2 linked regions of the Cricetulus griseus genome follow. The protein of the gene in region 1 interacts with the protein of each later gene in a biochemical or structural test. Links are inferred from orthologs where the notes say so. Each region holds a gene or a part of one and is shown in the gene's direction. Other genes may lie near its edges.

The links.
Region 2: the proteins of myoblast determination protein 1 (region 1) and Csrp3 form a complex in vitro, tested with the Homo sapiens proteins (2 studies listed by BioGRID and IntAct, with this or other methods). The link is inferred for Cricetulus griseus from reciprocal best matches to the Homo sapiens genes MYOD1 and CSRP3.

The regions. Positions count from the first base shown.
Region 1 is NC_048599.1:155,322,064-155,325,786, forward strand, and holds myoblast determination protein 1, read left to right. Parts: upstream 1-1,334; coding exon 1,335-1,961; intron 1,962-2,409; coding exon 2,410-2,488; intron 2,489-2,803; coding exon 2,804-3,057; downstream 3,058-3,723. UniProt on the Homo sapiens protein: Acts as a transcriptional activator that promotes transcription of muscle-specific target genes and plays a role in muscle differentiation. Together with MYF5 and MYOG, co-occupies muscle-specific gene promoter core region during myogenesis.
Region 2 is NC_048596.1:145,855,579-145,860,059, reverse strand, and holds the start of Csrp3 (cysteine and glycine-rich protein 3), read left to right. Parts: upstream 1-1,383; 5' UTR 1,384-1,496; intron 1,497-4,481. UniProt on the Homo sapiens protein: Positive regulator of myogenesis. Acts as a cofactor for myogenic bHLH transcription factors such as MYOD1, and probably MYOG and MYF6.

The DNA.
Region 1 (3,723 bases):
AAGGCTGCTGGTTATACAGTGCAAGCAGGTGTTGGAGACAGAAGCAAGCTCTCTTGCCAGCATAGCCGTGCACCTCCCCTGACATTTCCACACTCCCCTCCCTTTAGATTTTCAACCACGACCACAGTTACTCCTGGATACTGTCATTATCCCTGGATATGAAGTGGAAACAGACTTGGGAAGAGGTCACCTCCACAAAGTTATGCAAACTGCACTGTTGGTGAGGTCCTCAGGCCAGGTCCTGGCCATCATGACACTTAAGAAAGGCACTTCCTGGGGCTCGACTCAGAACAAGAGGACACAAAATTGCAGCAAACTGGCTTTCGTCTTAGCTGTAGAAACAGATCAACCCAGACCCCTGTGGCTCTCTAGATATCCACAGAAGGAATCCAGCTGGTTAAGTTGAGTGGAGCCTCTCTCCCTTCCTTCTTCGCTCGTTTCCTCCCTCCGTCCACCCTGATTTTGAGTAGAATGGCTTGAAGTTTTAATGCTGATCTCCCAACTACCGCAGAGACTGAACCGGGTTCCTAAGCTTCCTGAGGAAGATGGGCAAGACCAGGCGCTCTCTGGGCGGTGTCCAGATCCGCAATCAGCCAAATATCACTGCCACCAAGTCATTTGTCTCAGGCTTGCCCACTTAAACCTTTGGAGTCTCACTGTCTCTTGCTCACGTCGTCTTCGGCTCAACTTCTAAGGATGTGTCACCATTTCGCGGCTTCTTCTCTGGAGGTTCTTTGCCCTGTTGCCTTGTGACTCTCTACAAATCTCCCGCAATCTGATTTCTAATTCCTATTCTGTGCCTGGTTTCCCCACAAATCAGGAGACAGTGAGGTCCAAGGTCAGCGCTGTGGCTTCGCGGAGGCGCACTGGAGAGGCTTGGGCAGGCTGCATCTGGTAACCAAGTGCAAAGGAGGGCGGAGGGTGTTTGCCCGCCAGTGTCTGCCCTCCTCCCTGCCCCACCGCAGAGCCGCGGGAGGGGGCACTCCCTGGCCCCAGTGGCTACCCTGGGGACCCCACGCTCCGCCCTGCTGCACTCCTATTGGTTTAGGACACCCCCGCCCCCAGCCTCCCTTTCCAGCTCCCGGGCTTTTTAGGCTACCCTGGATAAATAGTCCTGGACGCCTGGCGCGAAGCTTGGGGCGAGGAAGTCCCAGGACGATTGCTTTCTTCGCCACAACTCCGACAGACCAGGGAGGGGAGGTAGAGGACAGCCTGTGTGCAGTCCAATCCTCAGCACTTTGTCATTGTACTGTCGGAGTTCAGGAGTGGCAGAAAGTGACTCTTGAGACTTGAGTTGAGCTAGAGGCAGGACCGAGAAGCCCAGGAGCTGGGATATGGAGTTATTGTCGCCGCCACTCCGGGACGTAGACTTGACAGGCCCCGACGGCTCTCTCTGCTCCTTTGCCACAGCCGACGACTTCTATGATGACCCGTGTTTCGACTCACCGGACCTGCGCTTTTTCGAGGACCTGGACCCGCGCCTGGTGCACGTGGGGACCCTCCTGAAACCGGAGGAGCACACACACTTCCCTACCACGGTGCACCCAGGCTCAGGTGCTCGCGAGGATGAGCATGTGCGCGCACCCAGTGGGCACCACCAGGCTGGTCGCTGCTTGCTGTGGGCCTGCAAAGCATGCAAGCGCAAGACCACCAACGCTGATCGCCGCAAGGCCGCCACCATGCGCGAGCGGCGCCGCCTGAGCAAAGTGAACGAGGCCTTCGAGACGCTCAAACGCTGCACGTCCAGCAACCCGAACCAACGGCTGCCCAAGGTGGAGATCCTGCGCAATGCCATCCGCTACATTGAAGGCCTGCAGGCTCTGCTGCGCGACCAGGACGCAGCACCCCCTGGCGCGGCTGCCTTCTACTCGCCCGGCCCGCTGCCCCCAGGCCGAGGCAGTGAGCACTACAGCGGCGACTCAGACGCTTCCAGCCCACGCTCCAACTGCTCAGATGGCATGGTAAGGCCGGGTCTCAGAAGAAGGCCAAGTGCAGGTGGCACCTGGGGAATCTGGAATGCTTTTGAGTCCGTTAGGGTTGGGGAAGTTCTTTAGACCCAGGTGTGCCTGGCATGTGACTGGGGTCTCTGGAGACCCTGGGCATCTGTGATTTGCCTAGTGGGGGTGGCATCAAAATACTGCTATGCAGACCACAGGACATACGTTTTCTCCCCAAATCCGTATCACCCAAATGTAGATTTGTTGTTGTTGTTCCTGGGTCACCATCCAGTCTCAGTTTGGCCCTGCATGCGATATATTTCAATGTTTGCTGGCTCCTACTTCCTAACTAGGGCTGACCCAGTCCTGGAACGCCCCCAGCTGAGACTAGGGGAGTGAGGGAGGGGCGGTGACAAGGAGCAGTGCTTGAGACGCCCCGAGGATCTGACTCCATCATTCTTGCTATTCGCAGATGGATTACACTGGCCCCCCGAGAGGCCCCCGGGGGCAGAATGGCTACGACGCCACCTACTACAGCGAGGCCTCCAGCGGTGGTGCGTATTCTCAGCTGTTCCCAGCTAGCAGCTGGGAATTGCCTTCCATGTCCCCCTTGAAGCTGTCCTTGCTCCCCAGGCTCAGTACCCCCCTCCCTGCCTCCATCACAAACACACTTGTATCTTGGGACTACGAAGGGGGCTGGTTAGGGGTTAAACAGTGTGCACCTTCCTCTTCTTTCTCCGTTCAGTCTGGCAAGTCCTCAGTTTCTCTTCTGCTCCAAAGCTCTGTGTTCTGATGGAGTGGGGAGAGAGTGTAAGAGACTTGAAGAGACTCAAGCTTGGAATACTAACCTTCCCCTCCCCCTATAGAGTCCAGGCCAAGGAAGAGTGCAGCCGTGTCGAGCCTCGACTGCCTATCCAGCATCGTGGAGCGCATCTCCACGGACAGCCCCGCTGCTCCTGCTCTGCTGCTGGCAGATGCATCTCCAGAATCTCCTCCAGGTCCTCCAGAAGGTGCATCCCCAAGCGACACAGAACAGGGGGCCCAGACCCCGTCGTCCCCTGATGCCTCCCTGCAGTGCCCTGTAGTCGCGAACGCCAATCCGACCTATCAGATGCTTTGAGAGGTCAGCTGCTGTAGGAGAGGGCATACCGCCTACACGCCTCGGGGGAGTGGGGGGTGGGAGGTCCTTCACACCCCCAAAAATGAAGCTTAAATGACACTCCTCCCAACTGTCCTTTCAAAGCCACACATCCAGAGGCTGGAAAAGGGGGAGCAGAAATCTGTCCCCACAGCGGTCCCCAAGGAAAGGACGCAGTCCATTTGTTGTCGTTGTTTTATTTTATTTTTTTCATGTGACTCACAAAAGACAGCCACTTGCTGCCCCTAACCGCCAGGGTTTCTTCCTTTCTCGCAGCTCCTCGAGCAGGGCTGAGCCCGGTACACCTAGGCCCTGCTCTCCAGGTCCCTGTTGTTTGTGGAGACATGATCCCCATTTTCCGGAGGCCCCCTAATATATGCTCTTTCCCACAGCCTGCGGGAAAGCCGCTCCAGTCCCGTGTGTAACAGGTGTAACCATACCCCACCTTCCCCTGTCCCAAGCGCGGTTCAGGACCACTTATTTTTTTTATATAAGACTTTTTGTAATCTATTCGTGTAAATAAGAGTTGCTTGGCCAGAGCCAGAGCCCCCTGGGCTGTATTTATCTCTGAGGCATGCTGTGTAGTGAAACAAGAACTTTGTTTATTCCTCTGGTGGGCAAGCCTTGGGGCTCACTCACTCAGGTGTT
Region 2 (4,481 bases), on another chromosome or scaffold:
GAAGAAACTAATACAATAGAACTGGTATCCTTATAAGAAAATACGGGATCACACATACACCAAAGGAAGATTCCAGGAAGACACAACAAGACTCACTTACATGCCACCAAGTGTGGCTTCAGAGAAACCAGTCCTGTGGAATCATCACGTGCAACACTTTGTCACAGCTTAGACCCTTTCAGTTATGTAAGAATTTAGTTAAGTCATTGCAGACTCTCTCTCACGACTATATTCTCATGCCTGACTTTAAAGTGAAACTTTAGAAAGTACACAAGAAGCAGTGTGGAGCTCCAGTTTTATTGACTTTATGTGTTGATGTCCCATTTAACATTAACTACATTAAATATTGGTGTCAAAGCACACAAAAAATTGGTATACTTGTTTTGTTTTTTGTTTTGTTTGTTTTTTGAGACAGAGTCTCATGCAGTCCATGCTTGCTTTGAACTTCTTATGTGGCTGAGAATGATCACTTCTAATGCTCTAGCTTCTACCTCCCAGATGCTGAAATTACAGGAATGCATCAATACTGCTGATTTATATTAGTTGAAGACTGAACATACACACACACACACACACACACACACACACACACACGCACGCACGCACGCACGCACGCACGCACGCACGCACACACGAACGCACGCACACACAGCTTTAAAAGCTGCTATCCTACCAGAATCCTTAAGATCCTTTGCTTTATAGGGCAGTCATCATTGTCTTATTTCTCAGATAAACAAGCTGTGCTGTTTTCCATGATAACACGGATCAAGCATATTTCACTTAAAGCCATGCTATGCCCATCCTTGTGAAATTACAACAAGCCCTATTCTAAACCATGAAATAGTTTACTAATCAAGACTTGAGACTCAAAACTTCTGAGAAAACTTTTCTTCCTTGGATAAACAGGCCTCTGATGATTAGCTGATCTCAACCCCACCTCCCCTGCAAGCCTCCTGGAGGAGATTAGCTAAGAGTGTGCCAGACCCCCATCACTCTTATTTTTAGCTCTGAGTTCTCCTCACAAGTACGGTGACCTGGGTCTTGGAATTCCAGAGGGCTCCCAGGCCTGGCTCATGATTCATTTGCAGGTACCCTGCACTGATTTGCAGAACAGGCAGGGTGTGGGGGAGGGGCTGCAGAAATGATTTTAAACATAAAACCCTTTACTCTTCTTCCAAGTCTTTGGTCAGAAACTGTACACTTCACAAATGCATCCCTTGCTGCCTTAGGCAAATGGCAATTAAAATAGAACCCAACTAATATTGTTCTCCAGGAGGCTCCCGGCTGCCGTGGGGTGGGGGGGCTGGGGAACACAACTAAGGGCTTTGGTCATGGGCTATTTTTGGCAGTTGTGTTACTCATGTCTTATTCACCCCCTCCCCTCAGCCTCCCCTCTGCCCTTCCCTCAGCAAGCCAAGGCTGGTGACAGCCTCAATATATTTAAAGAGGACAAGAGTCCCCTTACTCAGTTGAGCCGACAGAGACCACACAGGCAGGTAAGTGGATTAAACAGGCATTTGGGCCAGGATGACTGACTGACTGGGTGGCCGATGGGACTATATAGAGTTCTACAGAGTGGAGGTATATTTTACAACCAAATCCCAGCACCTACTCTGACTACATATGAGGAGGGTCCATATACTTGATCCACTTGTAGACATAGCAGTTATTTCAAATTCCCTAAAAGCATAACTAATATCGGAGGGTTTAGGGAGTGTGTATGAAAGTCTGGGTTTGATTTCCTGGTATCCTAAAAACAAAAAAAGTTAAGAATTCAAGGGAACCTCTCAAACAGAGCAGCGGGCATGGAATTACTCTGGGTCTAAAGCCACTGTCATAGAGGGGTGTCCCAGTCCTTTGGGTCAGATGGCAGGAAAGCAGAGGAAAAGGGGGTTCAACAGACCTACATGGCAGCCTCTGAACTGCCATTAAGAAGCAGCTGGGTGGCTCTAAGGAAGTCCCTCCCTTAGGGTCTTGGTCTCTTATCATCCAAGGGTTTGATACAAATATAGTGACTTGTTTCTAAACTCTAAAGAACTACACAATTACAAAGCAGCTACCATAGATCCAATAGCACAGAAGAGAGCCCTTCCCAGCTCAAATCATGAAGCTTTGTTACTCACAAGGTGTGGGTGGATGAATGAGATTCCAGGATTCTTGCTTTCAAATAGATACACACCAAAGATGTTCAGTGACAGGCATGCTTTTGGCCATTTAAAATGAATCAAAATTTGTCTTAAAAAAAGAAAGACACTGTGATGCTGAAAGTCAATAAAAGCTCTTACTTAATGGGTGATTAAGTGGCAACGTGATACCTAGTGTTTCCCACAGGTTTCAGTCAAGGATTTTTCTTTAATATCCAGTGAATGAGAAGAGGCTTTAAGCAATGGCCTGGGTGGAAACGCTGTGCAGATCAAAGCTGCTACTTCTAATTTCTGTTCCGGTCTTTAGTCTGGGTGGTGAACCCTCCATAGAGGAGCTAGGTGGCCATTGGAGGGGCTTGTTTAACTGTAGTGTGGTGTGATGTCAGTTAATAGTTTGTGTAAACTGTCTCCTGTCTCAGATTGGGGCAGATGAAGGCACAAGCCACGAAAAAGGGTAGGGGAATGTGGGCAGTCTGTGTTCTCAGTTTACTTTGGGGACTGGGTGTCAAGGGAAACGATATAAGATGAACATGCTATGCTGTTTTCTAAAAAGAAAGATCAGGGATATCTCATGTGAACCAATGCTATGGCCATCTGTATGCAATTACCTCACCTCTCTCAACTATAACATGCTTCATCATTCAGCCAGTTCATTGCAATGTGTATGGAGCTGTTTTATGTCCCAGAACACATGGAGATTTTCCTGATTTGGCTTTGGTTCATTTCTGAACAACCCTCTCATTTGTGCTCAGTGTCAGCATAGCCACTGTTAGGAGGAGCTGTAGCTAAGCCAGGGCTTGGTGTCTGCTCCCAGGCTGGGCTGACAGGTGCTCTGTAGCTTGGACATACAAAATATCTGTGAGGGGCAAGAGAACATATGAGACAGAGGCTGGATGGGGTGAGAGGCAGCATGGGGACAGGGTAAGAGGAGCAAGCAGGAACACCCAACAGGCGAACCACAAGAGCCTCACCCAGAAAGTGGAGACAGAACCATGGTAGATGCAAATCCTTAACTCAAGGGAACAATGAGAAGCAAAGCCAAGAAAACAGAGTCAAAGGTTCAAATTATAGCTCAGAGTATCCCTTAGCTTCCCAGTCTTCACTTTGGGAAGAGTAAAATGCAAGGGTACCACCTAGCTCTAGGGGATGTGTGTGGACTGAATAAGATACAGGGAAGTACTTCACAAACTTAACAGGACTGCATGAATAAATGAAGCCTTTCAGAAAGGGTTCAGGGCCTTCTCAGGGATAGGAAAGATGTCCTGTGAAGTACAAGATGATGACAAAGGTCCAGCAGTCAGTGTGGCTAACAAGCTAGCCAGAAGCAGAAAGGTGATTGACGTGTTTGTTAAGAGGAAGGATATAGCCTAGGAAATACAACTCCAGGCAGGCTGCCTTCCAAGCACCAGCATGCTGCCCAGATGTCTGGGAGCACTTACCGTATAGAGGGCTAGGAGTCATGGCCAAAGAGAAACATGGCACTGCCTAGGTGAAAACTGAGTGTCCCTCCCAGGGAGGGAGGCAGAGAGGGATGCAGGGATCCAGGGGCTGTGACGTAAGGAGACTATACAGAGCTCCACTCTGTATAGGTATGGGTACAGGGATCAGCATCTGATGCTGCTTACCTGTTTTCTTGCCATCTCAGAGTAAGTGTGGGCTTCTTTAGAGTCACAGAAAGTCCTGGAAAAGTCATTCTTTAGGGGAACAAACTAAAGTTCAAGGGACTGTAGCAGCCACACAGGGTCACATGGCCAGAGAGCATTGGAATCAGGATGTGATCAGGGTGCAATGTGGCCTTTAAAGCACAAAGGTCAAAGCAGAACCAAGAATGGCTTCCAAGAGTAGAAGTCAGTCACACTACAGAGATAATTTCAGTGAAGGGTCACTGTGATTGTGTGTTAGTTGGTCTGACCACATGTCCACCATACCTGAGAGCCAATGTTTCTGGTTATTTCTAAGCTTCCCAGGTTTTGTGACAGGTGGTGGTGGAGAGACTTCATATATACACCTGGTCTGTAACATCCTGAGGAAGCTATCCTCTGACCTTGACTCCTATTCTAGGAGTGAAAAGGGTGTGCCTCCCTTCGGCCACAAGGACTCTGTGTGGGCCTGCTTCTCTCCACCTCCCCTCAGCCACAGGGACCTTGTGGCGTGCTTCCATCCAAAGCCCCAGTGATTGGCAAGGCAAGCTCAGTGAGAACTTCGGAGAGGCAGGATGGGCATGAGGCCTTGATCAATGGTACAGGCTGCCTGAGATGGAAACAGGGCCCTGTGCTGGCCACATATGGGTGGCAAACTCTGAGATTCTGAAGTCTGAGAAACACAGTTGATTTGTGG